Oryzias latipes: one gene and its partner. The protein of the gene in region 2 binds, or shares a complex with, the protein of the main gene of each other region. Links are inferred from orthologs where the notes say so. Each region holds a gene or a part of one and is shown on either strand. Other genes may lie near its edges.

What was found.
Region 1: cdc40 (region 2) and rbm22 share a complex: the UniProt entries of both Homo sapiens proteins name them as parts of the postcatalytic spliceosome P complex. The link is inferred for Oryzias latipes from reciprocal best matches to the Homo sapiens genes CDC40 and RBM22.

What each region holds. Positions count from the first base shown.
Region 1 is NC_019868.2:16,381,071-16,396,416, reverse strand, and holds rbm22 (pre-mRNA-splicing factor RBM22), read right to left. Parts: upstream 8,269-15,346; 5' UTR 8,193-8,268; coding exon 8,139-8,192; intron 7,003-8,138; coding exon 6,949-7,002; intron 6,864-6,948; coding exon 6,834-6,863; intron 6,729-6,833; coding exon 6,596-6,728; intron 6,494-6,595; coding exon 6,393-6,493; intron 6,141-6,392; coding exon 5,968-6,140; intron 5,811-5,967; coding exon 5,610-5,810; intron 5,510-5,609; coding exon 5,345-5,509; intron 5,064-5,344; coding exon 4,981-5,063; intron 4,352-4,980; coding exon 4,223-4,351; intron 4,138-4,222; coding exon 3,980-4,137; 3' UTR 3,580-3,979; downstream 1-3,579. Other genes in the region: myozenin-2, read left to right, coding at 1-10. UniProt on the Homo sapiens protein: Required for pre-mRNA splicing as component of the activated spliceosome. Involved in the first step of pre-mRNA splicing.
Region 2 is NC_019882.2:8,072,595-8,087,952, reverse strand, and holds the start of cdc40 (pre-mRNA-processing factor 17), read right to left. Parts: upstream 9,055-15,358; coding exon 8,863-9,054; intron 8,188-8,862; coding exon 8,101-8,187; intron 6,975-8,100; coding exon 6,845-6,974; intron 6,764-6,844; coding exon 6,677-6,763; intron 6,511-6,676; coding exon 6,371-6,510; intron 5,637-6,370; coding exon 5,540-5,636; intron 5,226-5,539; coding exon 5,086-5,225; intron 4,596-5,085; coding exon 4,521-4,595; intron 4,321-4,520; coding exon 4,275-4,320; intron 2,416-4,274; coding exon 2,314-2,415; intron 1,422-2,313; coding exon 1,306-1,421; intron 713-1,305; coding exon 579-712; intron 1-578. UniProt on the Homo sapiens protein: Required for pre-mRNA splicing as component of the activated spliceosome. Plays an important role in embryonic brain development; this function does not require proline isomerization.

The DNA of each region.
Region 1 (15,346 bases), on a different chromosome or scaffold from region 2:
TGAACTATGAAGACGACGAGTCGATAAGCCAAAGACTCAAGCCCCGCCCTCTCCTCCTACAAAGTTGATACCTGTTTTTTCCTCTTGGGAGAACAAATAGGAATAACGGCAATACCAATCTTCCACACATTAAGAGAACTGGACTGAGTAAGCCCTTCCCCCTCGTGTTCCAAATAGGAAGTATCCGCTAGTTTCAAAAAAACAAAATCCCATATTTTTTGAGAAATAAACAGCTATTACTCAGTAATTCAATTTGTCAGAGTAACCATTCTGGTTCTTTCTACCTTTTTTTTTACATGTTCTTACTAGTCCTTAATTTTTCACGATATAATTTTCTTCATTGCAAGTTTTTTTAAATAATAAACTGACCAATCAGATGCTTCAATGCAAGTATGTGCTTCCTATTGGCCTCCACCTTCAATGTTCGAAAGATTTGATTAACAGATTCTCCTGAGGCAAAGCAGCCTCTGGACAGTGGAAGGAGTGTGGACTTCCAACAAATTAATTCCTGATTGGTGGGAATGGTTCCCATAGAAATGCCGTCTTAAGGCCCGTTCACACCGGGACGAATTTCGCCGGCGATTTTCGCCGACGTTTAACGCCTCGTGACTAAACAAAGGGCACCAATGAGAGTGTGCACACCGACGCGAAAAAACGCCACGCGTCAAAGCGTAAAAAAAAAAAGCGCCTCGGGTTTCGTTTTTTTTTTTGACCCATCGCGTCGAAATCTATTTGACCAATGAGAACGGCGCTTCTGCACACGTGTCTGGAGCCTCTGAAGTTACAGTAAAACACAACTTGGGGGCGCTCAAACACAAAACTGCCTTTCTGAGCACACATTCCAGTGAAGAAGATAGACGCGTAAATACTTGCTCTCTTCTTCTGAGTGAAAAGCGAATTTAAGAAGCGTAAAGTTGCGCAGCGCCACCTTGTGTACAGGAGTTTTTCTGTTTTACATTAAGCGCCATCTAATGTCAGGGATGGCGAATAACGCCTGGCGAATATTCGTCCCGGTGTGTACGGGCCTTTAAGGGCCTTTAAGGCCTTTAAGGCCCGTACACACCTTGACGAATTTCGCCCGCAATATTCGCCGACGTTTAACGCCTCGTGACTAAACAAAGGGCACCAACGTGAGTGTGCACACCGACGCGAAAAAACGCCACGCGTCAAAGCGTCACTTTTTAAAAAACGCCTCGGGTTCGTTTTTTTGGTTCGACGCGCCGCGTCGAAAACTGTACGACCAATGAGAACGGCGCTTTTGCACACATGTCTGGAGCTTCTGGAGCTACAGTAAAACACAACTTGGGGGCGCTCAAACACAAAACTGCCTTTCTGAGCACATATACCAGCGAAGAAGATAGACGCCAAGTAGCGTCTACACTGCCGCGAAGAAATAATGACGGAAATTCTAAAATATCCCCGAACCAAGCACCAGTTGGAGCTACTGGTGCTTGAAATGTTCATGTTTTCTTTGTATGATTCTGACAAGCGCGTAAATACTCGCTCTCTTCTTCTGAGTGAAAAGCGACTTTAAGAAGCATAAAGTTGCGCAGCGCCACCTTGTGTACAGGAGTATTTCTGTTTTACATTAAGCGCCATCTAATGTCAGGGAATGAAATTGCATGTTCGCTCGGCTCATCGTCAGCGAAAATCGCCTGGGTGTGAACACAAAAAACGTGGCGAAAAACGCTGGCGAATAATGCCTGGCGAATAACGCCTGGCGAATATTCGTCCCGGCCCTTTAGACCGACTTGGACCAATCACTGCTAAATGATATTGTTTGGCTCTAACGTGTCCATGTTCGTATCACCAAAAATTGGCTTGACTTCATTTGGTTGGACGGGAAGTAAGTCATTTTCTATGGATGACATCACACTCACTCAGTCCAGTTCTCATGTACAGTCAATGCTTCCAGAATATTTTTGTTAATGGCCTCTGTTCTGTGTTTTTGTCAACACCACACAGACTTCCATTTATATCATGCAAAAATATTCAGGGGCCTGGTGCAAAGTTTTCTGTGCATAAAAGTATGAACAAAGCAGCAATTTTAAATATGTGTATTTTTTCTCAGATTTAAAAAGTTTCATATATATGTGGTTTCTTTTAAAATTGGGTTGCAGTTATAATATAAAACAGTCCCACAAAAACAGTCGACAGCTAAGGAAAACTGCTAATTAGTGCAATTATTACCCGTTTGTAAATTCAAGACAATTGATGCAAAATATTCATCTTATTTTAAGACAAATAAGATAAACCTACCTTATCTTAAAATAAAGACTTATTCAGTTTATTTTAAAGAGTTGCACCCAAAATGTATGTAAACAGGGAAATAACAGACATAAATTCGCCAATCCCACACTTCCTGTTTCTAAATTTGATGCAAACTCAAAGGTTGCAGTTCCTAAATTGACCACTGGTGGCTGGTTTTAAAAGAGAGTTTTTTTTTGTTTTTTTTTATTCTTATTTCCAAAACTTTAATGTTTTATTTTCTTTTCTTGACAACAGAAGGAGAGGCTTCTATATTCAATACCAATAACAGATCAACAATGCTCTGAAAGTGGGCAATTGTCCAGGACAAAGCATTTTTTTGTTATGTCCACTTGTGGATCCACCAAGCTGTCGATCAAAAAACTGCCCTTAAATTTCGCTCTTTAAATTAAAAATGTGTATTGGAATATAATCAGCTCTCTCACATGTTATCCTAAAACAGAAATGTGTTTTTGGTATAGCCCTAAACATTTTAATGTAAAGGTCAACTGGAAATGGTGCTGCCCCTAGTGGTTATTTGGGAAACTACAAAATGCCGATTTTCTGGGTTTTTCGTTGAATTTAGGAACATAAAGCGGGGGTTGGAGGAAAACAGAAGCCCCATATTAGATCTGTTGGATGTGGACCAGCATCCATATGTTTATATGAAAAACCATAAGGATTGCTAGTTTAATGAGTCAGCTCTTATTTAAGATTGAATATTATAAACACTTTTTTCTTAAAGTCACATAACCAATGGCTTTCCAAACACGACTACTGCACACAGCATTACTTCTGGAATTTGCAATAAAACTGCCTTTGTAAACTTATTTACCTTATAAACCTACATGGTTTATCCAAATGAAATCATGAGCCGGTCTATAAGTACTTGAAAACTCTCAAAATCTTATGAAAGATAACACCCACAACAAAGATATCCAGACTATGGCTGAATTTCTAGATTAAGAAAAATATCCACATTGAAACTACCATACAAAGATTGAAGTTGTTTTCTTTTAATCCACTTGTGCTTGAACTGCTGAAGTTGAAGAGCAAACGTTTTCCTGGGGTAATCTTCCTTAAGGAGTACCAGTTGTAAGCAGGGGAAGATGGAGTTTCTTTTTGTGGATAAATACTTCCAATAGAATATTCCTAGTATTTCCTAAAGTACATTTTACATGCAATACTAATATGCAGTCTCTTTGTCTATTAATTTACACTCTAGTTTAATATATTTTCATTTACCAGACTTCCAAATCCACCAAATGGTGCAAACAGATGAAAGCTGAGTCAATTTGATGATGAGCTCAGGAAAAAAAACCCAAGTCATTATGCAGTGGAATATTGCATCAAATTTATTTTAAAAAAAAGAAATCAGAAAAGAGACAGATTTAGAATTAATCCTCCATATCGAGCTCTATGTGACACTATGCAAAATAAGACAAGAACAGGTCCACCCCTAAGAACTTTACAACAGTAATCATGGCCAGCACTCATGTTGGAAGTCTTTTGTGTTCATTTAGAACTGCAAGAAGCTACACAGTGATGGAGTACTATTCCACTTTTTTCCTCTTGAGACATACTGAGGTAATGAATTCATTGGATGTCATGTGGGGCTGTGTACAGAAGGAAGGACTGATCCATGTGAAGTCTTCAGGTTTGGGGCTGTCACATGAAAACACTTGACCAGGTTCATGGTGAGGAAACCGAGACAAACGTTTACTGCAGGACTTCACTCGGTGATGTGACGGGAGCCGTGAGCGCCGTGAGCACCCATGCGCTGAGGATCCTGGGAGGGGTAGTGGATTGCACCCGGAGGTCTCATCGTTATAGCAGGGGGCACAGGTGGAGCCATGGGACCCATAGGGTGGTACATTGGAGGACCAAAAGCTGCGTGGGCAAAAGAAGGTTTTTAGTATCCATTTCCATTTTTCTTTCTGCATCACTTAGAAGTAAGTCTAAGCCATGTTTTTACCTGGAGGAGGTGGGTTGATACCTGGAGGTGGAGGCAAACCTATGTTCATGACAGCAGGAGCGGAGCTGGGATCCAGGTTAAAATAGTTGGCATGACCCTCTTCATCTAAAGCTGGAGGTGGAGGCAGCGCTGGCAAAGAGAAGAATTAAAGGCGGTAAAAAGATGTTCTTGCTGCATCTTAATCCAGATTCTGAATTCTTGTGGCTGAGACTCGGAGCAGGAAGCCTTTTGCCCGCCCAGCGGATTTTCTACCCCGCAGATACATATTTTTACCCCAACAGCATTTTTTCATCTGCTACTGATCATCAACGAATTTGAATACAAACAATACTCAGAAATGCAGTTTTGAGTTTAATTTTCTTCAAATATGTCCTCCATCATCCAAATAATGAACATGATAAATGTTAAAAACACCATTTTCATCAAAGTGTGTCGAAGAAGGAACACGCTTAGAAAACTGCTGTTTGATGAAAACAAAAAATAACCAAATGTGCTTTATTTTAAAAAACAGTGTAGTAAAATGTAAGATGACCGTTTAGTTTCTCATAAAAACCCTCAGATCCCAAACTAAAATGTAACGTGTGGATCTCAGCATCTTACAAATCCAAATAAGTGGCTCTTAGAGACATCGTTTTTTTAGCAAGTGGTTATGTTTATGGGAAAATGATTTGACCTCCTAAAGGGGCGCCAACACCCCTGACTTGAACTGCATGTGCGCACACATAAAATACTGACCCCCCCTGTGAGAGAAGACTTACCTCCAGGAAGTCCAGGTACAGGATCCAGTCTGATGCCAAGCTCATCATCTTTGACACCATCTTTTCCTCTCGCTGCTTGAGACCTAAAAGACAAACAGGTTTGAATTTTGATTGACTTGAAAGACAAAAAAAAAGGTGACAGAATATCTCCCAGATGGGAAGAACCTGTGTGCTACAATTAAGCTCCTGCTGTGTTTCTAATAACCACTTTTTAAACGCCACACTCAGCCGTTTCCCAACACTTGTAACATCGATGGTGGCTTCACCTCAAGGCAGTTTGAAAGGCTCTTGCTCTTTTAAGAACATCTGGCGTTTAACAAGCAAATGACAGCACGGCCTCCTCAGTAACCAAGAGTCATCGTACCTCCCCCACTTGACAGTGAGCCTCCGTCCGTTAAGGATGAGTTTGTTGAAGGACTTTTCTGCGGCCATTTCAGCTGCCTGGCGCGTGGCAAACTGGATGAAGGCGCACTGCTGCCTTTGGACTACAGTGATGGTTCGGATTTCACCAAACTGGTAGAAGTGACCCCTGCAAGAGTACACATAGAAATTCAAGCACAGTATAAAGGCATCAAAATTGTCACTTCTTGTTGTGACAAAGACAGAAAAAAAAAAAAAAAAAACCTTACTTGAGATCTCCATCCGTGACATTGTCTCCCAAACCGCCTATGTAGAGAGTGGTGATGGACTTATCCTCTGGTGGGTCTAGTCGGGGCATGGTTGAGGCTCGCTTTAGCAGCTTGTCAGCGACCGGGTCATTGATGCCATAGTAACGGTCCTTGATGTTTTGGTCAGCCAGAGGATCATCGGGATCGGTGGGCTTTTCGTGCCTGAAATGCAGCAAACACAGGAATAAAACCCAAAGACACACAACATGCTGGTATATATTTTTTATCTTTTAAACCAAATAAAACTATGGATTACAGTTTCAGATCTACCAAACAGCAGCACCTTTGTCTTTTGGTTACAGATGCTATTAGTCCTCACCTGTAGGGACATTCTTCGCCTCTCTTACACTCTCCCTTCACCCAAAAGGAGCAGATGTGCGGCCGGTTCCTCTTGTAATATGGCGTGGTCCTGGCCAGCTTGAGCAACATATCACTTGAGCTCGTAGCCTTGCCGAGTTGGCCTACAGGCCGTGTGCCGTCGGAATTAGCCATCTGTGAATGCGACGAGTCGTTAATGACAATAAATGTGCAGTTCTGATCAAAATGCTCCAAGCTGTTCTCGGTGCAGTGATATTTACAGACTCCTGAGAGCTGCAAAGGAACTGGGAAACCTTTGGAAGTTGTGTTGCATTTTTCAATATGAAAACAATTTGGAAGTAAAGGAAATGACTGCAACCTAAAATAATATACGTCATAACAAGCAATGCTACTGAAGAGAAAAGTCATTACATAAAGGAAATCTACCTCTCTTTCCATATTCTGTGTGTAATACTCTTTATTCACGTCCGAGCGAGGAATCTCATCTTTAACTGTGAGGCCTGTGTCACGGACCTGGATAGGCAGACCTGTCAATCAAAACACATCAAGAGAAAGTGTTACACTGACAAATAAGACCTGCACAAGGGGTACACAAATCCAAATTTAAGTAGAAAGATCCCGAGACTCACCATACTCTAGATCAAGCAGACATGTCTGACAAACATTTTTCATTTTACTGCAAGTCTGGCAGACTTCTGTCTTCTTGAAACGCATTCGAGTCCCCGGGCACCATCTGAATACAGTGAAGGGTCGAGAACAGATCTAATGGAAAGAAGAAAAACTTTAAATCCAGTTTAAAGATAAAATATTTCAAGTTTAAGCTGTGTATTCTTCTGAAGGCTAAGGAAAATTAACAGAAAGCCATACCTTGCATTCTTTTCCATATTTTTCTTTGGTCTGTATATAAAAAAAAAACAACTAATATGATTAATGTGAATTCATAAACAAGACCTACAAATAATTCAGCTGGAAACTTACTCACCATACGGATGTAAGGATTCTCCCCCAAGCATGTCTGACACAAAATCGGAAAATCCTGAAACAGACAAGAAAACGTGGATTCAACAATTCTCAGCTAATCATTTACTAGTATTCAAGCTGAAGGGATACCGTTACATTTCAGCCTCTGCTTGACAAATGTACATGTGAGGGTAGTAAAGCTTTCAGCATCACCCACTTTTCCATCTGGTTAAGGATGCTGTTTCCATCCTTCTGACCGCATCAGCCAAAAACCCCAAACATGGGCAGATCATTGGGCTCAAACATCACTTACATATTCGGGTTACAAAGTTTTTAGACTGTAGCTTCAACTAAAACTAATCAAATGTCTGGTTGTGTTATGCTTTAAGGGAAGACACAAACACTTTTTATCTTTTATAGTCGTGTTAAGATTTAAAGGTACAATTGTACATTTGCTTGATTTACATTAGGACCACAGTGGGAACTTAAATTAAGTTGCCCAGTTTACATCGGATTGGTTAAGTGTCGCATTAACTGCGTTAAAAATGCCAGTCAGGTATGAATCAATTACTTAGACATCTTTTAGCTCATATTTTATTCTCAAACAAGAGAAGAAGTACTGTTACGGAATCAAACAGGAAACCTGTAACAGCAATTGCGAAAAAAAATACATGAATTCTTAATATTCGTGATGACGAGGTTGCAACATCATGGTTTGAGATCAACAAACAGGTCTATTGTTTAAAACTCTGATTATTCTACATACTTTATTCTTTAAACTTTTCTAAAATAATTGTTTTTGACTGACATTATGCTGAGTCGGTCTTACAAATATGACATTTCAACCAACATGACTTCAGCATCGTAAGGCAGCTAAAGCTAACGTAAATTAGCATACATGCCGAGCCTCGTTTAGGTTGATAAATCTGTTTGGACTTTTGGAAATGGATGATACTAGCTGCCAACGATCCACAATCTGTGTTTGCCTGACCCATTAAGGGATTTAAAGACTTACAATTACTGTAACGATACGAAGAACAGTAGCTAGCTACCATGCTTCCCGCATTAGCATTAGCCTATGCTACTTAGCGGGAAGCTACCTTGTTACACATCAAAGAGGCTTTTGGGTAATAGTATTCTTGAAATGTGATAAAATTGATGTGTGGTCTCTTTACACATTTAGACTTAAACTATAAAAGCAATTCAACATACCGCGTCTTCCCAGTTTTGTCGGTTGTAGGTGTTGGATCCAAGAGAAGTCGCCATTTTGCTGAATGAGAGGAGAACCGGGCCGACAACGACAACTCACAATGCACCGCGCTGCAGGTCCTAGACTTGCCTGTGGGTGTCGCTCTTTCACCAGAAACTGTTAGTGATCAAACCCTCAATGGAATGGATCGAGTTGGACTGGTTTGACGTGTTGACAGTAATATGGTGTGCCAGTGTTGACAATTTAAGATCTTTACTTTCAACTATCTGATGTCACCCGAAAAAACAACAGTTTTGTTTAAATAGGATAACAAGTTTTTACAAGCGTCACAAAATTTTGTTCATTCTGTTTCGAAAATATTCTTGCGCTCTTAACATTTGTGTGAGTAAAGTTTAGTAATCAGTTGTAAGTACTAATTAACTTAACCTTAACTTATCTATCTATCTATCTATCTATCTATCTATCTATCTATCTATCTATCTATCTATCTATCTATCTATCTATCTATCTATCTATCTATCTATCTATCTATCTATCTATCTATCTATCTATCTATCTATCTATCTATCTATCTATCTATCTATCTATCTATCTATCTATCTATCTATCTATCTATCTATCTATCTAAAAGTAGAAAATGTTTCAGCAAAGCATAATGAATGCTTTGTTAAAACAGTTGTTGTTATCCTAAAAAAGCTTTTATTATTTCAGGAACAATATTTAATGCTATTGCTTTTAAAGACCATGAACTTATTTCTATTCTGGAACTAAAGGTTAATAGTTTTTTTTTTTTTAGTTACTTGTTAACCTGATTACGGACTCCGGATTAGACCTAATCCATGTCCATGACCTGCTCCGTCTGAAGGAAAAAAATCTAACTTCTGTAGAGGAGCTATGCAACAAAAATGGTATGTTTTATCAGAAGTTTAAACACATGTAGTTTTCCTCATAAACACATGATTAATTTAATGTATTGCTAAATAATCTAATATATTTTTTAATTTATTTATTTTTCATTTGATCATAAATCTATGATAAATGCAAAAAGGTGATGTAAAGTGTTTTAGGTTTATGAAAAACTGTGAGTCCCAACAGTTTGCGCCGCCTGAGTTTGTGTCATTTCCAGAGACGGAAGAAGTGACAGGCTGGCTGATTGGCAGGTGTATGGGAGCTTGTGAAAGCCAATTGTCCAGTTAGAGTTTACCCGTTTACCTGGTCCAATTCAGGCCATGGTGTCTTTGTTGTGTGAAATTCCAATTAGTGAGGCGAAGGATGCTGAAGATTACGAGTGGGTTTTAAATCCTGAATGTTTATTTAACTTCACAGGTCAGATTGTGGATTCACAGAGCAGAGATTAGATGCAGGCCCACTTAACTGGTCTGCAGAGCTCTTTCAGGCCACATGTAAGTTAAAAACAACTATATTGACCCTCCGTTTTGGGATGTGCTTTTAGAGGTTCATGGACTTTTGGTTGTAAATCAGGGGCATACCATGTGCTTGTGCTTCCACAGTAAGGCGCTGAATGGAAATTTCCATCCGCTTTAACCTTTTGTTTTCTTTCTCTGCTTGGCCAGCAGAGTCCGTCAAGAACATCCCTGAAAAGATCACCACAGGAAACTCCCCCTCAGGGCATCACCTTCCATATCTTAATGAGTCATGTGACCCCGTCCTTTCTATCATGTGAAAAGACTGAGATGGCCAAACTGCTTTGAAGGAAAGCTTTGTCTCAAATTTAGCTAATTAGAGATCAAAATGACCAACCTCATGAGTCACAAGGCCAGTGGATTTGTAGGTGTCTTTGCTGTTCTTTGTTGCTAATGCCTCAACTCTACAGTGGGGCTGTTTCTGAATTTGTCTGTATTAGTTTTATACTCCAAGCTTTCTTTATATTTTTGATTAAAACCCCCCGAAAAGAACTGTATATTCTGTTATAAGATCATCTGTAACCAGAGGCATATTTTGTGACGCTTCATTTGCCATAATGTATGCCTGTAAAGTAATTTCTTATCTATAAATAAATCACGATACCCCCCCCCCCCCAAAAAAAATTGTTAAAAGCAAATCAAACAGCTACTTTTCAATGACATTTTTGAAAGAAATCTGTTAAGATAATTTGAGCATCACTTCACAAGAAAATTGGTTCAAGAGTATTAGCGAACAGAAGATCAAGGTCCCTTTAATCCCAGCACCGTGGAGCAGGGATGCAGATAAGCCCAAGAAATATTGAGGACTTCAACATGCATGCATGCGCATAAGAAAAAAAAGTGTCGCTTTGGCGCCACCTGTTGACAGTTATGGGCCACTGCTGGGTGCACAACGCTGCAGAAGGAGAGGGGCTTCCTCACATTTCCAGCTTTCTCCCAGCCGAGTCGGCCGTGCCGCTTCCACATTAAGGACAACAGCGAGCCGAGACCCTTTTCTGTTCACTCTTCGAAATCCAGCGCCGCTTTCCTTCCAGCCGGCTCGAGAGCGTCCGAAATCTGCTAAAACGAGGTGAGTACGTCGACACAAAAACAAGTGTGCTGGCGCTGCTTTTCGCCTGTGTTTGGTACCGCGGAGCCCCGCCGCGCGCTCTCCCAGGCCGGGCTCGTGTTCGCTGTCTGGCTCGCGCGAGGCTGAGGCCAATGCCTGACTCCCCTCGACTGAAGATAAAACAAAAAGCCCCAGAGGCAGCGTTCATATTTAGCCTGGCTCTGACGCGAAAAATGAAAGGATGCGTTCACTGCTCGAAGTTTAGTGCCCGGCAGAAGCTAGAGCTGCAGCCGGTTTGCACCGAGATTTTCACGGCGGAGTACCGCGATCGAATCCCGTGAATGCACCAGCGGCCACCGAGCAACTTGTTTTGATAACTTTGTAGCCGCTGCGGTGCGTTTAACGCCGTGGATATGCTCGTTTCAAGTAAGTGACTCAAAACAACTCAGGGGTAACAATAAAATAATCCTTGCTTTCCCCCCCGGCGCGTCTAATTTAAAAAAAAAAAAGAAGCCAACGAGTGTGTGCAAATCCAAATGAAAGGATGATTCGTCTTTCACTTCATTCTGCAAGTCCACACATGACAAGAGGCGGACAAAAGACTAGAAGTGGAATGCAATGGCTCCCAACACAATCTTTTATAAACGATTGAGTGGGATTTGGCTCTCAGCTGTGGTAACAGGCTCCGTGTTGTGATACGACGCGTCGGATTATTATGACCTGCAGTAATCCCTTACTGGCTTATTATTTACGAAGGTTTTAACAGTCAGGCGTATTTTTTTTCTGAACCGCCTCAAACACGGGCAGCCCTCCTGGGTGGGAGAGCATCCCACGACGCGGGATTCTCCAAACTTCTTTTGAGGGAAAAGTAGGACGATGGGATTCGGCGGTTTTAATTGGCTGTTTGTTGCGAGATTGGAGCAGTGTCTTCCTGTACGCGCGAGGCCAGTTTTGCTGCTCCTTTGTTGGTAGAGCAAAGGTCTGTCTCTACTAAGAGCTGCAGATGTTCAGTAATATAAACAGTGGAAGGTTTGTGTAGGGGGGACAGTCCAGACCTGCCTGATATGGTTTACCTTGGGGTGCTCCTAGCTGAATAAGAGATTACAGAGAACATTGACTCATGCTGGAAATGGATTTGGCAAAGTCACAAGGACTTTTGCAGAGCACATTCCTTCAGCTGCATGCCGGCTTCATGAGGTTTATCTGACCGGTGCTTCATAGTATTGTTACCCATAAGCCTCTAGTTGCCACATGTTCCAGCTTGCATTTTGCTGATTGAAAAATATAGGGCTTATTCCATTTGAAGATTACATATTAAGAGGAGGAGGGGAAGAGCAAAAAAAAAAAAAAGCATGATGGTTGCTGTTGCATGCTTATTAAATTTGCTGAATCTTAAGTTGTGTTCTGTTTATCCACGCCAACTGTTTGTCTGGTTGTTCTAAACCTCCATCTGGCCAAACGCGCTGTGATCGGGCGGCTTTCAGCTGCCAGCGTGTCGCTGCGTCCATTTGATCATGCACTAGCATCTCCTCGCTTCAGACACATCTGGGGATGCAATACCTGCGCGCCAAGGCCGATAAAAGCACAGGAACTCTGACAAATCGTGTCACCAAGCAGCCCTTTTTTCAGGATGAGGGACGATCGGACTGGTTGCCGGAACTCATTGTTTGCCTAGTGGAGCCCTGAGTGCCTTATTGTTATCTCCACCTAGAGGAGGATGTCAACATAATGGTGTGGAGTAACTCTACCATCACGTTTAAAGCCACACAGAGTAATTGTTGGGAGCTACAGGGCTCACAACATGCCAGCTCTTGTAGTTTTCCATGTCACTGCCCCTTGTAGGCACTCTCAGTGTGTGGGGAGCAGACCTCTCTTTAGAGTGGAGCTAAAGCCAGGCATCTTTCCAAAACTTGAGCACCCCCAACTTTTTTCTGTCCTTTTTTTTTTTTTAGTGGATATAAGCCTTGCTTTGTGCCCCAGTGCTGCTTCATTTTCATAAAGTAATGACTTACTTCACTAAATACTACAATCTCCCATTGGAATTGGACTTCCTGTAGATGCGCACAATCGGATGTTTCCTCACTGCCTTGGGATTTTGAGTTTATTACGCCAACTCTACGTAGAATTATGTTGCATTTTTACGCGGCGAAGGTTATGAAGGGTCAAAGGAAAAATGCATAGTAGGCAGCTCAGCAAAACCTAGTTTTAGCAAACCATATGATGCGGGCTGTAATCCTCAGGAAAAACCCAGAGAGTCGCTTCTCGAATGGTGCTGGGCTCCATTAGACAGTTGGCAGGCACCGGGGGTGTCCACATGTGTGACTGCCTGGCTAGGCTAGCTGCGCAGCTGAAGGCTACAGTATGCAGGCAGATCAGATTACTGAACGATTAGCCATGGCCTCCTATCCGCGGCTGAAGGAAATGATTTTCCACTGTCATAATTCCCTTGACTGAATTACGCAGACCAGTGACTCATAGATACTCTATACAGGTTGGAGGACTGCACGGCATAATCGTTGCTTTGTTTTGGGGAGGGGTTGCACCTTTGTTGCACAGAAGTTAATGGTATTCTTGTTAAGATTTATGTAGTGTACCTTTTTTTTTTTTTTACTAAAGCTGATTTTTTTTTTTAGTGTCCTGCCATCACCAATGGAGAATGGAAGTTTTATTTCATGGGCGGGCAAAGACGGCAGCTGTGAAACAGTGCTGAGAACTTCTCTCTGTCCTATGAAGAGATATGTGTCAGAATTTAAAGTGCCTTAAAAAAAAAGGAGGGGGGGTGGGGTGGTTAAATCCTGCTGGCCTCTGGTGGAATTTTGCTGAATGGAAACAGAGATGAGAACAGGAGAGGCTATCTGTGGCCGGACCATGTTCCTAAGGTGCACACCCACCCCCCCTGAGGCAGGAATCTGATACATTCCACAGGCTCCAGTATCCAGACAAATAATGGTAACTGGGGTGTAGCGTTTCATCAGGTGACTGGGTCATAAGTGTTGGGAAAGGAAGAGCTATGTCATAGGCCCAGAGCTGGCCGGCTCTGGTTTCTCGTAGGGTCAGTAAGTGGGCCAGGAGAGCGGGAAGTTATACGAGATATGGATTTACAGCAAGACAAGACATCTTGTTTTTTTTCTTTATTGCTTCTCCTTTTAACACAGCCATTTCCTCCTTCCACTATTTTGGTTCACGGTTTCAGTCATGAATAGTAACTGAAAGAAGTATTTGATCATTTGCTGACTTTTAAGGTATGCCTACCTAGAAACAAATGGACAGTTTCATCCTAATGGTAGGTTTGGTTAAACAGTGAGAGATGGAAAATCACTGAACAATCAAGAAATGGACTTTATGTAATGAATTTATGTACCATATTTTCCACATTATAGGGTGCACCGGATTATAAGGCGCACCAGCAGACATGTATAAGATGCACCTAACTAAAAGGTGCATTTAGTGAGACAGACTTTATTAACTGCGTTCATTATAATTCTAGAACTTGTTTGGTACACGCTACATGATAGCCACGTTAACGTATTTACAATACCTGTAAACCCAACCTCTGATACCACTAGAACAAACATTAGTGTGACTACCGGTACACAAACTCCCAACCTTGTTAGTAGTATCATGGAAAAAACACCGCTGCATGTTAGCCACGTTACCGTTTTTACAATAAAACGCCACCTTGTTTGCAAATTAAAAAAAAACAAAAAAAAACGGACATTTTGATAGACCGCCGTGTACCTCTCAAAACAGCTTAGACATCAGTAAACACAACCAGAATGAATCCATATGTAAAGTTGCTCTTAGAAAAAAAATAGTCTTTTAAGTGCCCTGCATAGTGCAGAAAATATGGTAAATGTATTTGCCTTTTTATTGAGGGAAATGTTGTGTTTGAGTTTGATGCCCAGTCCTACCCATTCACTTGGGTTGGGTAAATGTACAGAATCAGCATAGATCAAGGACTATTTCCTCCACTGGTGACATTCTTAACCCTTGTGCTATCTTAGATGACCCCACCCTTACATTGACGTGTTCTCCCTACCATGACAAAGGTGGATAAAGGTGGAAAGATTTCATGTAATCCATGGACACCAGTGAAGATCATAAATCATTGAAGAAAAAAGGTTCAGTGCACTTTTTAGTGGGTCTAGATGACCCAACTCCCAGCGTTAAAGTGCCTAGGATAGCACAAGGGTTAAAGTTTTTTTTTTCTCCCACTTCCACACCAGTTCTGATTGAAGCTTGTCAGTAAAAAATAAAAATCACAGTCACATGATGATAAGACCTTGACCCCTGTGTAATTTTTCAACTTCCACCTCCCTTCGGATCGGTTCTTGTACGATTTTCTACTCTCGGTTCAGTTTTCAGAACTGCGTGCACTTTAGCCCTTCAGCTAAAGGCTATTTTTACTGCAAGACACAGAAAAATGCCCTGTTTTATTTAGTGGTCAAAAAACAAGCTGTCGGGTGTTAATGGACTTCACCTCAGCCATTTCGATGGACCCTCAGGGTACGGCGCGCTCATGCACTCGGCGAGCCAGCTCTCTGCACTGGCCTGTTAATGAAGCCATTTTCAGAGATGGAGAGATGCAGTAATGGGAACGCACCACTTCACTGCAGGATATTCTAACCCCGTCTTCATCATAAGTGCTATCAGTCATCGGATACGATTACACCCCCCCACACTTTTCCTATTTAGGGGTTTCATTTATTTTTTTGTTTTTAAGGCTGAGAAGAATCTT
Region 2 (15,358 bases):
TGACAGTTCTTCTAAATTCTTTTTTACTTTTAATGACTCAACTTAAAGGTTTTCCATAACTTTACCTCAACAAATAAGATCCAGAGATGCTTTATGAGGATTATCAGTGGTTTTTTTTTAAATCACAGTAAGATTGTTTGTAATATCTCTCATTTAAAACAAGCCTAGAATCTTCACTGGTACCTAATTATTCTTCATTTTTCTACAATAATTCTGTTCTTTTAAGCTTAGCTGAGTAATCAGTATGTGCATCTGTGACCTGATAAAAACATGTTTGTTTTTTTACCCCTTATAAGAAACTTAGTTTATTATTCTTGTTTTTCTTTTTTGAAGAAAAAAAGTTTTGTATGCTCTTTCCACACTTTCTTACTGCACATTATAAAGAAAACTAAAAACACCTAAACATTAGATGGATCGTTGATTTAAAAATTCTGGTTAAAAGTGCAACTAATGAGGAAAGCCCTAATATTAGCTGAAACTAACACTTGATTTAATGTATTCTTTTTCTTATCTAAAATTCCTTGACGAAATGGTCACAATGACGAGGTGTTGCATTATGGGATGTAAACTGTACTCACCACTCCCAAACTCGAAGGCTCTTGTCGTCTGATGTGCTGACAAAACGCCGGTTCTCGTCCACAAAGGTGATGGTGTTGACAGCGCCCAGGTGGCGGTCGTACTCCTGAACCACCTCGCCTGTCCTGATGTCCCACTGTCACACACACGCAGGGGGGGGGGGGGAAACACAGTGAGGAATCATATTTCCCGCTAAAGAGTGAAAGGAAACCACCCAGAAACGACTCTGTGGACATGAAACCAGAACGGGCACATTTCTGCACTGCCTGGTTGTGCTCTTTCATTAAAAGCCCACCCTTGAGGCCAGCAGCCTTCTGTGCTCACAACCTGGAGAAGTGCTGCATGACTAACACCAGCCAGATTGGGAAATCTACTGGTCATAATGAAAACAATGGGGCTGAGATCATCTTCATTTCTATTTTTGATTTCAATCAAATCTCGGTGTCACAGTACAAGTCTGTACACTTCAAATTCTATAAATTGTTTATCCGATAAGAAAATAGAAAACCTTTATTGTTCTAATTTTCTTCAGAATGTTTTTTATCCTTTTGCAGATTTTTTCCATCTTGTTGCCTTTGATTTATGAGTTGCTCTATTCCTGTCATCCACTCACACACAACTTGCTAAAAAAAGTGAGACAAGTGCATTTCACGGTCCTGTGGGCACTGCCTGTGTACAGTTTCATGCATCTGCTGGGTCAGCACAGCTTCATTCTTCCCGTTTCTTCACCTGAACAATCTTCTTATCCGACATGCCGGCCACAAAGAGGTTCTGTTTGTCTTCATCTGGGTTGAACTTGACACAATATGGCACCTTCCTGTTGGTGAAGCGGGAGATGCACTGGCCTGTGGAGTAAAGCTAATTAAAACTCAAGAGCTAGGGAATAATCCGAAATATTTTTTCCAGAAAAAAAAAAGGATTCTGCAGCTTCTGCTGGATCCCTTTATGTGAAGAAAACCAAGCTGTAAAACTGAAAACCCCTGAGAGTTTTTGTTCATTCCACAAAAGGTGAATGATTGTGACAAATGCTAGAAATATTGGCAAACAGGAAACGAAAAATGACCGAAAACCCTGCAGGGATTCATGATTGTAATAAGAGCTCTGCTACCACCATCATTTTAGTACAGTTGGAAGAAATGTGTGATAAATTATTAAAGCTGCGATAAGAAAATACGGAAGAAAAAAAACGAAAAGTACAAAAGTGAGCCATAAACTTGGATTACAGTGGGGGATTTAACTCTCTTCTGCCCTCTGCTGGAGGAGCAAACTTTTACCCACCTTGATGGTAAAAAACATAAATATGTAAATAAGAAAAACTGATTACAAATGTCATCCTAAGCCATGTATAACACCCTTGAGTAACTAAGAAAAAATATTAGTGACAAGGACAGAAGCTCACTTAGACAACTGTTGTCATGGAAACTCTCCCGCTGTTATTTTCTTTTTTAAATCAACCTAAAGATTATTCTAGACGTGTGCTTAAACAGAGCCAGCAGAACGTGACTGCTCCCTGGGTGCCAAGTCTGACATGTGAAATCCCCTTTGCATCCACAATGATTGCTGCTTTGACCTTTATGCTAATAAAACATCTGCTAGGTTATGTTTCTGACGAGAAGCTCCAAAACCTAATGGAGGAGGGGGGGGGACCCCTCCATGCAGGTAAAGTTGTATTTTTTATTCAAAAACATGAATTTAGTCACTCTGGGGAAAGCACACTGATGTCAGAGACCCTCGTACCTGTCTCGGAGTCCCAGAGTTTAATGTGGCGGTCGTATGCGGCGCTGAGGAACTGAGTCCCAGTGTTGCTGAAGCAGATGTCTCGCACAGCTTTGCTGTGACCTATTACACAAAATATACACACTTCAGTGAAACAGACAAATGCCGTACAAATACTCAAAATGACGACAATTTAACAATTGTCGAACAGTCATTTTCGCATATTTTTTTTAAAGACCAGGAAAATTATGTCTTTGGTGTTCTTGTGTATTTTTTTTTTAAGATGGAGATAGTAAGCTCAAAATTGCATTTCTAAATCTTTCTTTATCCAAATCATTGTGAATCAGGAGCAGACTACAAAAATGCAATTTGAAAAAGAGCTCACAACCGCCCACAACTCTCAGGCAAATTTCTATGCAGAAAGCTATCTATGCATTTATCTATGCAGCATTCATGCAGAAACTCTGTCCTAAAACAACACAGGTTTTTGATTCTGGAGAAAAGGGGAAAAAAAAGTGGCATAATCAAAATTAAAGGGTTATGGGGAACGTTTTTAAAAACAAAACATGATCAGAGGGGGTCTTTAAGCTGAAAGTAAACCTCTACGGCTTTTCTTTTCTGACTATCACAAGGTTGCGGTGGGCTAACAGTATTCTTATCAACAATGTGCTCCAATAAGGACAAACGCTTCATGCACACATGCTCATTAAAGACCAAAGCAAACACTACAGCACCAGACAGTCTTAAAGATGTATGCACAAATGATTTTACACAATACAACTGAAACTACAGTAAATTAGGAAAGCAAGGCAACACTATTCGATGTTTCAGCGGTTAAAACATGAAAATTGGTAAAAAAATAAGCATCACTACCAAGATTAATTAGCATGAAATTGTCTTTAGGAAGAAATACATTAGTCTGATGATTGTTTTTACAGAATTAAGAGAAGAAAGGCATGCATCTCTGTTCATTCACAGAAACAGCGCATGTCTGGCTCTTCACCCCCTCCATCTCAATGTTTTCTGCCCCTCGTCCCCTCTTCTGCCCCTGGGCTGCTGAATTATGCATCTTCTTTGAAGGAGCTGACAAGGAGAGCCACAGCTACAAACAATCTTTACTCTGACAACGTGCTCTCAGTGAGACGTGTGGAAAAGTTGTCTATCTGCCAAGCAACCCTCCCGACACCATAAGAATTAAGAAATAAAATTAAAACATAAATATAACTGCAAATTTCCAACCAGAAGACATCAATGCTCCTGCAACGCTGAAAACACAGTCAGTCACTGAAGGGCTTATTCCAGTTTAGACCTCAAACATAGCCGGAGTCAACATCTTTGCTGATGATGCTTTCTTTGATGCTTATCTTACAGTTAGATAACAAAATACTTAATGATTCCAGGCGCTGTGGTCAACCATTAATACTAGTTATAATAAATAGGTACCTTTTTCATCATTTTATTTATTCACAATTGACACCTTAAAACACCAAATTACACTTTTTTATTGTGAAATTTGTGTCTTTATGGAGACAAAACTATCAACATAAATATATAAATATCTCTTATTTGTTTCCATGGCAGTCGTTTGGGCTCAGTTTAAGCTAAGAGCCAAAAACATTCATCCAACAAGGTATTTCACATCAAACTATTTTAAATGATCAATAATAATTCTTGGTATATTTTTGCAAGCAGACACCTAAAAAACAGGCTGTATAATCACAACTTTCACTCTCTAAAAATGTTTCTGGAACATCCAGAAACGAACAAAAGGAGAATGAAGATGATAAAATAATATACCCCCACTAGATTGCATCATTTCTGAATGAGAAAAGATCTCATCATAAAATGTTTCATGCTACAAACATTGCTTTATTTTGGGGATCTGGTGGAGAAAGGGGTTAATTGGACTCCAAAACATGAACAGCTTATTCAGAAAATTTAGAACAGAAAGAGACACCAAAAATAAATCCAATAACACTTACCAATAAATGTCCTGAGACACCTCCTCTCACCGTAAACCTCCCACAACTGTGGAAAAATGTGACAAATTAGACACACATTTACAACAAAAGGGGGTTTAAAGCTGGTTGTATCGAAACAATGTTCAGATTTTTATGGGAAGCTAACAAAATTGACGATTCTTGACAGAATTTAAAAGTGAATGATATGTTTTTAATAAATATCACACCAATAAAAAGCATATACTGAAGCCAAACATATTTATGTACCTTGATCTTACAGTCCATAGAGCAGGACAGCAGCAAATGACCGGAGTTGGGGAATAACCGGATCGCGCTGACACCCTGGGAGAAAAAAACAAAAACAATATTTAACATTGTTTGAATCTAAACATGATCTTATTGTCCCTAATATTATCAAAATCTTTCTATTGCTATTGAAATATTTCTAAATGCGTCAAACTATTTTAACTTTAATTTTCTTTTCTACTCTAAAAGCCTACTTATAAGCTGAACACCAACTTTTGATGTCCTCACCCAAAAGAGATATTAATTTGACATTCAGATCAGAATAGGGTGTTGCTGTTGAAGAACTTTTACAGAAAAAGTTGTTTTCCTTAATAGTTCTGTTACTTTCACTACATAAGAGGCTTTGAGGAATTTTTCTGGACATCGGCATTTATAGGAAAGACGGTTTTCTAAAACCTATTTGTATGACAAATCAGATTCTGAGGACTGTTGCTTGCTATAGAAAGTCCACCAATTTAAAAAAAGTTTAAAATATCAGAGTAAAAAAAATTTTAGCGTGAGCATCATTAACGGCCGCTCCACTCGCCTTGGTGTGTCCAGACCACACATGAATCTGTTTCTTCGGCAGGTAACACTTGTCTGGAGCATCAGGCGAACGCAGGTTGACGCCGACGTCCTGCGGAACGTGGAGGTAAGACCTGCCCTGGTAGTCGTACATGTCTTTGACTGTGAGAAGAACAAATGGGGGGAAAAGTGTTTGAAATGATCTTGAAACATGAATACTTTTCAATCCAGTATAGCATAGAGCTTTGCTTAACATTCATAGTTCAAATGAAATTTAATAATTTTAAGAAGATGTAAAAATTTCTCATAGTAGCAGATTTTTTACTGAAAAATGATAGTAGAAAAGCATTATTCCATCTTTTTGTGATACACTTGAATTAGAATTCGCTAAAGACTTTGTTACTCTAAACATTAAAATATAAAAAACGTAATTATAATCAACAAATATTATAGACTCCTATCAAAAAACCAAATACCATGAAGAATGGTCTTCTCTTCTGCCGGAGACTCTTCCTCCCTCTTTCCTCTCTTCTGCCTCTTAGCTAGGTATTCCTCCAGATCCTTCTTTTCTTCCTGCACAAGAAAATACATCATTAGAAAAATCTCAAGACACCATAACCTTCAAACAATCCAAAGACTGAACAGGCCAACAGGTGGCAGCTCATCTCAAACATGTGTTTTTGTGTAAAGAATACTTTAAAGAGGGTTGTGGCTTCATAGAGTAAGACATTAGGTAACATTGGATTCAAGGTATGTCTCTACCATACAGAAAAATTCCATAAACACTTTTTTAAATGAATTTTTTTGCGGATTCTTTTTTAAGCGCCAAAGAACTATAAATATATTCTTGCTTTGACAGTAAAATATCAGATCAGTTAAACACCATCTAACTTTTTTCGCTAAACTGTTCTTTATCGGATCCAACCTAATACTCATTTTTATTTTTTATTTTAAGGATTTTTCCCCATAAATTAATTATTTAATTTGAACAAAAGTTAAAAAAATTAAATATTTACTTAAAAGAACTTATAAACCCACTGTTAGCCTTAAAACTACAAGAAATGGCAAAAAAGGGAATTTAATGAATGAATCAATATTTTCTAATGGGTACATTTAATTTTAAAACACAGCTCTCCCAAAGTATGTGCGATGTGGCAAGTATTAATTTAAAAAAACAAACATAAAAGCTTGTAATATCTGTAGCATCTTATATCTGTTTATCAATGGCTGACTTCGCTGTTCTCAACGGTCCTTAAATTTTTGTTAAATATGAGTCACAGTGTACATTGTAATAGAGAAAACATCACCTCTGTTGGTTTGGCCACATTTTTCTCATCTTCATATTTGGCCCACGGCCCAAGGAAATGATCAATATCTGCAGCCTCTCCCCCCTTAACCTTCTTCCTTTTCTCTGTCTTCTTCTGACCGCTTTCAAAAACGGTCAGTCCTGGAATTCCAGTGAACACAAAGAAGCAAATCAATGACATCTTCCAATATTTTTATGACAGACATTAAGCCATGAGCTCGTCTGTCTCCTCTACCTGTAAACAGGTGGTCAGGGCTCACAGGATTATGGTTTAATGATGCAATGAGAAATAACTTTCAACAAATACCTTTATTTTTCTCAGCCTCATCCACCGCTCCGATGTAGCTAGTGGTGGTTATTTGCTGAGCGTCAACAGAAGGGTCTAAAGCATAACCTATCAACAGATAAAATATGGGTTTGTGGTCTTCAAAGTGTGAACTTTGAAAGAATTCATCCACCCTAAAGTCAACCCTACCATAAGTAGAGAACGTCCTTCTTTGTTGTTCAAACATAAAGTCGTTGACGTGAGCTGGTTCTGCATATCCAGATAACATGTTCCTGGGGGCGGACATCTGCTGCGTCTGAAAAGGGTTCTTTGGTCCAAACTAGGAACAAACAAGACTAATTAACACAGTTGTGTTTGACCCACAGTCCTTTGTTAATTCATGTGTCACTCTGTATTCACGTAAAAGTTTTTCCGCTTTGAAAATTCATCTGTAGATGGTTGGAAATAAAAAAACAAATCATGACATCTAACATACCCAGATTTTTTTCATCCAAAAGAAATAAAAATAGCCAATAGTTGTATGTTTTGATTACATAAACAACATACATTTTTATTAATGAAATTTTGGTTTGTGTGAAGCAGGAGAAGAGCCCATCTGTAGTTCCATAAAGTAAAACTACTATTTAATTTAGTAAATCCAGCCTTTACTATTTTGACTGGAATGTATTTATTTATTTAACAAGTATTTACCATCATTTTTGTCAGAAATACTGCATAATCCTGTTGTTATTAACTTTTAACTATAAACCTTTAAGATAAAAAAAAAAACGTCTTAGTCAAACACTCTCACAACTTTAAAATGTCTTTTCATCTTTATCGATTCTGACAAATTTGTTTCTATTTTTAATCTGTTAGAAAACACATATACCTAGAGGAATATGAAAAACAAAAGAAAATTCAACTGGGATAGAAAATTGTGAATTTATCTTTTCCCCAAAAGTAACATAACCACATATTTTTCAATAATAATCTAGTGTTGAATATGTAATTATGTGGAAATTAATTCTTTTTCCAGGATTTTTCAAATAAGTGAGGGAAGTAGTGTCGAAAAAGAAGCCTTTAAATCAAGGTTTTTAGAATTCAATCTCATAGAATTTAAAAATATATATATATATATAATAGGCTGCATCCATAATAAATCACCTCAGTGAAACCAGGAAGCTTGGTTTTATTGTCAAAAACTGGGCTTGATTATTATAAATATATGTTATGATAACAGTAATGACAAATGACAAAACTATCGGTAGGAAAACAATGACTGAGCATCAAATCGTAAATTGTAAAGCTGGTGATTTTTTCTGCTGCATACTGACTGAATTGAGAAGTTTTCCTTTTTTTTCTCCCCAATACAAGTCACATTTGTTAGAATTTGACTGATTAAATAAAGAAACATTCGTTGGTAACATTATTCTGAATTTGCCTTTGTGGAATGACTACAAACTTACCTCAGGAGCAAACAGAGTTTCATATGTCGGGTTATAACTGACTTCTTTCAAAGTGGGATCCAGGTGTGTACCAGTCTCAACAGACTCCTACCATCAACGCAAACAAATGATTATCAGTCATTACTAACAAAATTATCAAGGGACATGTGAAATACTTTGCCAAATATTGTCATCTTACATTACACTCCATTTTCACAAGTGTTTAAAAAAAACTATTGAGTAGTACAGATGTCAGGTCATTACATACAGTTCTGAAACATTTAAAAATATCAGTTATGTATTAGTTTGTAACTAACTTGGAGAACACTGTCAGTTAAAAATAAAGACATCTCTACATACTATTAACCTATTATTTTCAATTAAGACACTAATAGCTATATGAAAACATAGGGAGATTTCAACGTTAAAAGCAATAAAGTAAGATTAACTTCAATTTACGTACGCTTGAGACGCAAATATCAAAAACTTTAACCAATAAATTATTACTTAATAAAAAGCATTAGTAAGAGGCCAGTAAATACATCTTTAATGTATCATCATGTACACTTGTGTAATTGCTGCCTTAGCTCATATTTGTGGTCTATACTTGATTTGTGTTCATAAGTTGACTTGTATGAATTCTTATACACATTTAAAACCCTGACTATAGATTTCGCGACTTTTACCCAACATTTATCAACATGTAAAAAACTGTCGTCGAGGAGCAGTCATCAAACTTTACATTTTATGCTAACGTGAGTTAGCTTAGATGCCTTAGCTTACCTTAACAGCCACCTCCGGGGCAGAATTGAGAACTGCCAAAGACATTATGCTACCAGATTGCAACGGTTTAAGGTGAACCATTGCATCCGAGTCCATCGGGTCAGCTTGTTCTGTACTAGTATTTGATTCTGACTCGTTTTCTGAGTCAGAATCGCTACCGTACGAAGCGAGGGAAGATATGGCGGCAGACATTTTGAATGTTGTGAATTTACCGGAAATCCGAGGGCGGGACTACCGGTTACAAAATTATTCAACTTTCATTTAAAAAAATGTAAAAACTCGTTATATCAAAAATTAGGACAATTTTAAAGTTATGAGTGTTTACCAATTATAATGCGGGTACCATGCTTGTAAGACTAATATATTTTATTTATTTATCTATTTATAACATGCATAATGTGACGTAGCACATAAACATGTTTATAGACATGCTATTTTTTTAATTAAAAAATATTAAGCAATGGGTCTTACAGCTGACCAAAATGTATTTTTTCCACAACAGTGAGATCATGAAAAACTAACAAAATGTACTGTTTTCCTTTCTCATTGCAACTTTAAGCTTTTTTTCCCCAATGCACTAAACACAATTTTTAGCCATGTGTTCTGATCAATTTCATTGACTATTTTGTTCTTCTTTTTTGTGTGTGTTTTAGGAGTTTTTTTTCTCCTCAAAAGAACCATTAACTTAACAAATGACAATTGCTTTTTTTTTTAAACTAAACTTTAGGCCTTCAACAAGAAACTGAAACAGGGCATTAGTTACACTCCAGCGTTTATGACTCAAGTGTTGCTAAAGGTAACTGTAGGAAATAGCTCACAGGCGTCCGTAGTTAATCTTTCTGAGATTAAAGTCAGAATTCTGAGAAGAAAAAAAGTCAGGATTCTGAGAAAAAAGTCAAAATTCTGAGATTAAAGTCGAGATTTTCTTTGCCCTTTTTCTCTCTCTCTGTCTGTCCATGGTCCCAAGCCTCTTCTGTACAAGTTAAATAGGATCAGAATAGATCCAAGGGTTCTGGTTCTTACAGCGCCTACAAAACACTGCAGTCAGCAGCAAGCCTGCAAAAATAAAAGCACGCCATGAATCCATTGAAATGTGTAATTTGCATAATTAAGAATGACACATTTATACTTGAGCAATATTGCCTATCTGTTGTATTATAACACAGTTTGCAACTACTACTTTTTTTTGGCATGTATGAGTCTGTAACACAGAGTTATGCAACAATTTCCCTAAAAAAGTGAAGAAAATACAACATAAAGTCAGAAAACATTGGCATATGATAAGAATATATTATAATAATGTTTTCAACCAATTCTAAAGAAATGTGGATAATGTATATTCTGTGTAATCACTGCTAAGTGGAATGTAACTAAATAGTCCCCATTTGTTTTATTAAGCATATAGTTTTTAATTTATACTTTTATGAACAAAACACATTCTAAGAATTTATTTCAAATATGCACAACATTATAACTATTTTTAAAATCTATATTTTATTTTTTAGGTTTCTGTTTTTAACAACTTTTCTGGCGCACTCCCAGTTACAGACGGTTTCTCACTCCTCAACAATGGAGTGGCTCATACCATTACAAGACCGAAACGGGGGCGTTTTCTCCTCAATGAATGCCACATCACGGTCGTAACCTCGAATAAACAACAAAAACTAAAAGTTTTTAAATTAAGGTAATGTTTTGATGTTATAAAACCTGACGCTGTTTTAGATTAGCACGATTTCCCTGTAGTTGCGCCGAATTCCAGCCGGAAAATCCCTTAAAAAATGCAGCTGGATCCTTCTTCGCCGCCGCCTCTTCCAGCAGGAGAGCATTGGATATGAGAGACGGCACAACCATGGATGTAACACGGGGATTTAAATTCTTGGACACGGCGGCACGCTTTGCTTCTTGGTGAAGATGGGAAGAAAATCAGCGGGATTTTAAGGATCATTTTGAGGTAGCATCGTGGCTTTATTGTGACTTCATTTTTTTTCTTTCTTTTTTTTAACTGACAAACGGACTTAAAATGTATTTAATTCCAGCAAGTTAGAAGCAGAGTCAGTCACCATGTTGTAGAGCGTAAACCGGGGCTGTCTTCTTGGCAATAACGGTAATTCAACACTGCCTGGCCATCACTGACTCACGTCAACTCAGCACACAGGTGACTGTAATGCAGAGTGGTCAGATGTGGATTATTCTTAAAAAGTACACGCGTGATCATGCGTATTTACCAGTAAAAGGGCACTTTTTTGATGGGATAACTCCACATCTGCAAGGGCTCCTGCTGCAGAGTCTGAGGATATCATTCGAGGGGGGGGGGGGGGGGGGGGAAGCAAATATTTGCAAAGCCCCATAAATGATCCTTTATTCCCCCCATCTGTGGTGTGTTCACGGGGAAAGGGATATCAGAGTTTCAGTTTAGTACAGTGTGGTAATGACCCCCCCCCCCCCCCCCCCTCCTAGAGCGCACTGACTTGGGGGCTGGGGACTGTTCCAGTCCAGGCAGCTCGGTTTGTACACTGTCGTGGGGGGGCGGGGGATGGTAGATTGTGGTGAAAATTATGGTTTGTGAAATTTGAAACCTTGGTGCAACACCAATGGCCGAGGAACAATGTTTTTACACAGCTTTACACGACAGTTTGAAGATCTCTGCATTGTATTATGTCATATGTGGCATTTCTTATGGATCCCATTCATAGATTTTTTTTCTTAAATGTGTATTGCATGCAAATTTCGGGATGTGAGTCCTTTTTAAACACCTGTGTGATGTGCAGTATATTATTAAAGGTTGTCCGTGTTGTTTTAAATGTATGACTGATGTAGAATGAATCATCTCTTGAGGCATTGGCTGCAGAGCTCGTAATGTTCCCACACTGCTGGTCCTTGTGCTTACGCCGCTGGATTTTTGAGTGTTGGAAGCAGAGACCAGTGATGATTAGCCAATCGTCCTCCTGATATTTAAAAATTCATCTCTTTCTCTCATCTAAATCATTTAACAGCTTAGTTTAGATCACTTTTCCAATAGAATAAATCCTTAAAATGCAGCGAATTCCCCAGAATTGGATGAATAAACCTACTGCACTTGCATTTAATCAAATAATGTCAGTTTAAGTGATGCATTATTCAAGAACTACAGTGGCTACTGAATGTGAAAGTGCCTCGGACTACTACTGGATAACCTAGATCTCTTATTTCCATAGAGGAATCATGCATGTGCGCAGAACGGACTGCCGGGTTTTGAAATTGTTGCAGATGTTTGCAGTAGACGTGATTGTTCCCTCTCAGCTCTCTGTGGATTTACTCATAGATGTTGTAGTGTGGATTTGCTGCGCTGTGACATCAACTCTTTGATGCATAATCAATACAGTACACGCACAGCCTCATGCACCCAACTGCCCCATTTGCAGGTACCGTCAAGGTTTCATGAAAAATGTCTATATATCCATATTTTCTTGTTGTGTACAGCATGTGGGGTGTAGATGCAAGCAGAGTGTGGCATACAGTATTTTCGAAGTATAAGTCACAATCTATTGCTAAGTTTGGCCAGGGGTGAAACTCATACTCAGGAGCGACTAATATGCAATTTTTAAAATATAAATATAGGCTCATATATTTGTTGTTTTTCCACAAACAACCGATTGTGTGTATGATACACACACTATAGGATAACATTGAGAGATACACACACTATAGGTGTGTAACAGTATTTGCTACTGACAGCAACAGCGAAGAATAAACACAGTCCAAAACAGAAATGGAGGAGAATCTGATTGTTCTCTTCCTGACCTTTATGATATATTATTTAATGGCATGAAGACATTAGTGGAAATTTTTTTGCGGGACTGCAAGCAAGTCATCAGACTGGGTTACAGAGACATGGAAGTATTGCTGAAAGTGCCATAATTCTGGTTCCTGCGGTAGAACGTAAAGATCGGCGTAGAAAAAAACCCGAAACAGAATGATCCCATGAAGACCTGACCTCTCAATATTATCTGTGTCTTTTGTGGATTCTAAAGTTAAACTATCTGTCACACCTAGGTTCTCCGCATTTGACCCATCCTCAGGGGGAGCAATGAGCTGCAGACTCGGGAAGGTGGCTTAACCCCCCAATCCAACCCCTTAATGTGTCCCTTAATGGGTTCCATTTTTAAAGTCTTTGGTATGACTCGGCTTGGGTTTGAACCTTCCAGTTACAGGGCGGACACTCTAACCACAAGGCCACTGAACTGGTTATAACCCAGATATACTGTACAATCAATGCTTCCATGTAGCGATGAGGCTAAAAACTTGACTGTAGCGTCTCCATCACATTTGATGTATGAAATGCATTTGACCGGGCTTGTTAGATTTGTTCAAAAGTGTATAGATTTTCTCCAAAATGTACGACTTGTGTTTTTTTTAATGCTTTTTTTTTCTTGCTGCTGGGATTTATACTCTGGGACGACCTATACTCCTGAAAATACGGCATATCCACTTTTAGTTTTTGCTCCTGCATATTTGACACTGCTCATAGTTTTTAGTGTGAGAAAGTCGTTTTTTGGCGTGGCTTCTGCTGAAGCTTTCAACCTCTGCTCTTTGTTGACATGGCTTTGGTTCTTTGCCAGCCTCTCTTTTCTTTCTTGCTAACAAGAACAGTATCTCTCCCTTTTGTCTTTCCCCTTAGAGATTCAGTAGGGTGATAGTGGGAACAGAATAACAGCCCACGATGTTGGGGCACGGACGAGAGGAATAAAAGAGAGAGAAAAAATGATGAAAATGAGCAGGTGGGCGAGGGATTTCGGGAAAGTCAGGGTAGAAATTAATTTGTGTGCGCAACGAGTGGTTCCTGTTTGCCTGCCTTTTAGTGGAGCCACAAACAGATCTCCTATCTTCCAGCTGTTGTGATGCTCCCGAGGGTCCGGCACACAGGACCTATTGTTCCTTCTCTTGGCCAGACCCACTGCTCTATAATACTGCTTCTGTCCGCTGCCTGAACTGGTATGACACCAAGACACCAGGGCACAGTTTACTCTGCTGACTGGTGCTCCTTGTGTTTTACTACCATTGACTTCACCACCCAAGATTCAACAGTTGTAGCTTCTCTATTCCCCCTGGTTTGTTTTTATCCGGCTTCTTTTTATGTTTAAGTAGCTTTTCACAACTCCAAAAAGATTTGTTCTCATATTGACACGTTTCAACTCTATATATCTTAATTACAGAAGATAGTTTTGGAGATTAATTAGTAAAACAGCAATTTTTCCTGTGGCCAGCCCTTAACTGTAACAGAAAGAGCTACACTAAATACTTTTGATTCAACCACCTACCCAATATTTGGTGTATGTATTGACTGTATATGAGAACTGGACTGAGTGACCCCTCCCCCCTGGCATTCCAAACAGAAAGACTTAAAAACTTGCATAGCAGCGTGTGAACGCGAGAGTATTGAATGCAGAAGCCCAAGACAGGCAAATCCGTGCCTTCACGTAAACTCTTTGTTGTCATTTTGTTTGAGCCAGAAGCAAGTCGTGTTTTTTAACTTCTCGCTTACTCAGTCCAGTTTTTACATACAGTCAGTTTGAATAAAGTTGTATACTTTATACTAATACTAAAAATAAATACATAAATAAAAAAAGGCAAGGAAAATCTAGAAACTTTTGTGACTTTTTCTAATTCTAATGTTTTCATCCCCTTTTTTTTTCTGAGATGTATTTGGATTTTCACCTCTTACAAACACTATTTCATCTGTGCCTCTTCAACATTTTGTTCTTTTACCTGGGGGTAATGTTGGACCCTGGGGGTGCTAACAGGTCCTCCACATGAACTGACTAGTTAAATGTGAAAGTCCTTTTTACTGTCAGAAGGGAAATAGTACAAATGTCACAAGTTCTGCCCAACGTATTGTATTTTCTTTCATACACCCAGGACTTAATGTCACAGCAATATTCTCTGTCCTCTATCTTATTTTGTACATATTTTTCCTCAGTACTTGTTTGCTGTACTCTTGCAGCTAACAAGCAAGGCCACAGTTCAAGCACTGTTTGCATCACTTTAGTCTCAAATGAGTTGCAGAAAGTATTGGTAGTTTCTTTACAGCTTAAAAGAAATCCTCTTCATGTCTCTTTGCTGCAGCATGAAGAGGGCCATGATCTCAGTCTGCAGCTCTACCCACAGATGCATGTTTTTTTTTTTTGCTTAAGAGAAGAACTTAAATGCCTTAACAACCAAAGCCAGCGAGTGCTGTCCATAGCAAAAATGTACCAGCTTTAAAAAGTTTTGGCCCCCCCCTCTTCATTTCAGACTGAATGCTGCAAAGTGAATGAAAGATGGACGGTGTGACTGTGATGTCATGCGGGGGTTTGTTCGGAGGCCAGATCAGATTCCTGGAGTCTTTCTTTTTGCACCAAACACTGCAGCTTTAAGAACTGTTTGTTTGGAGGATTAGCCTCTAAAATCAAATTTCAATCCTTTTTTGTAGCTTGTAACTCGATACTAAACAGACCTGTTTGGCTTAGTTTAAAAAAAG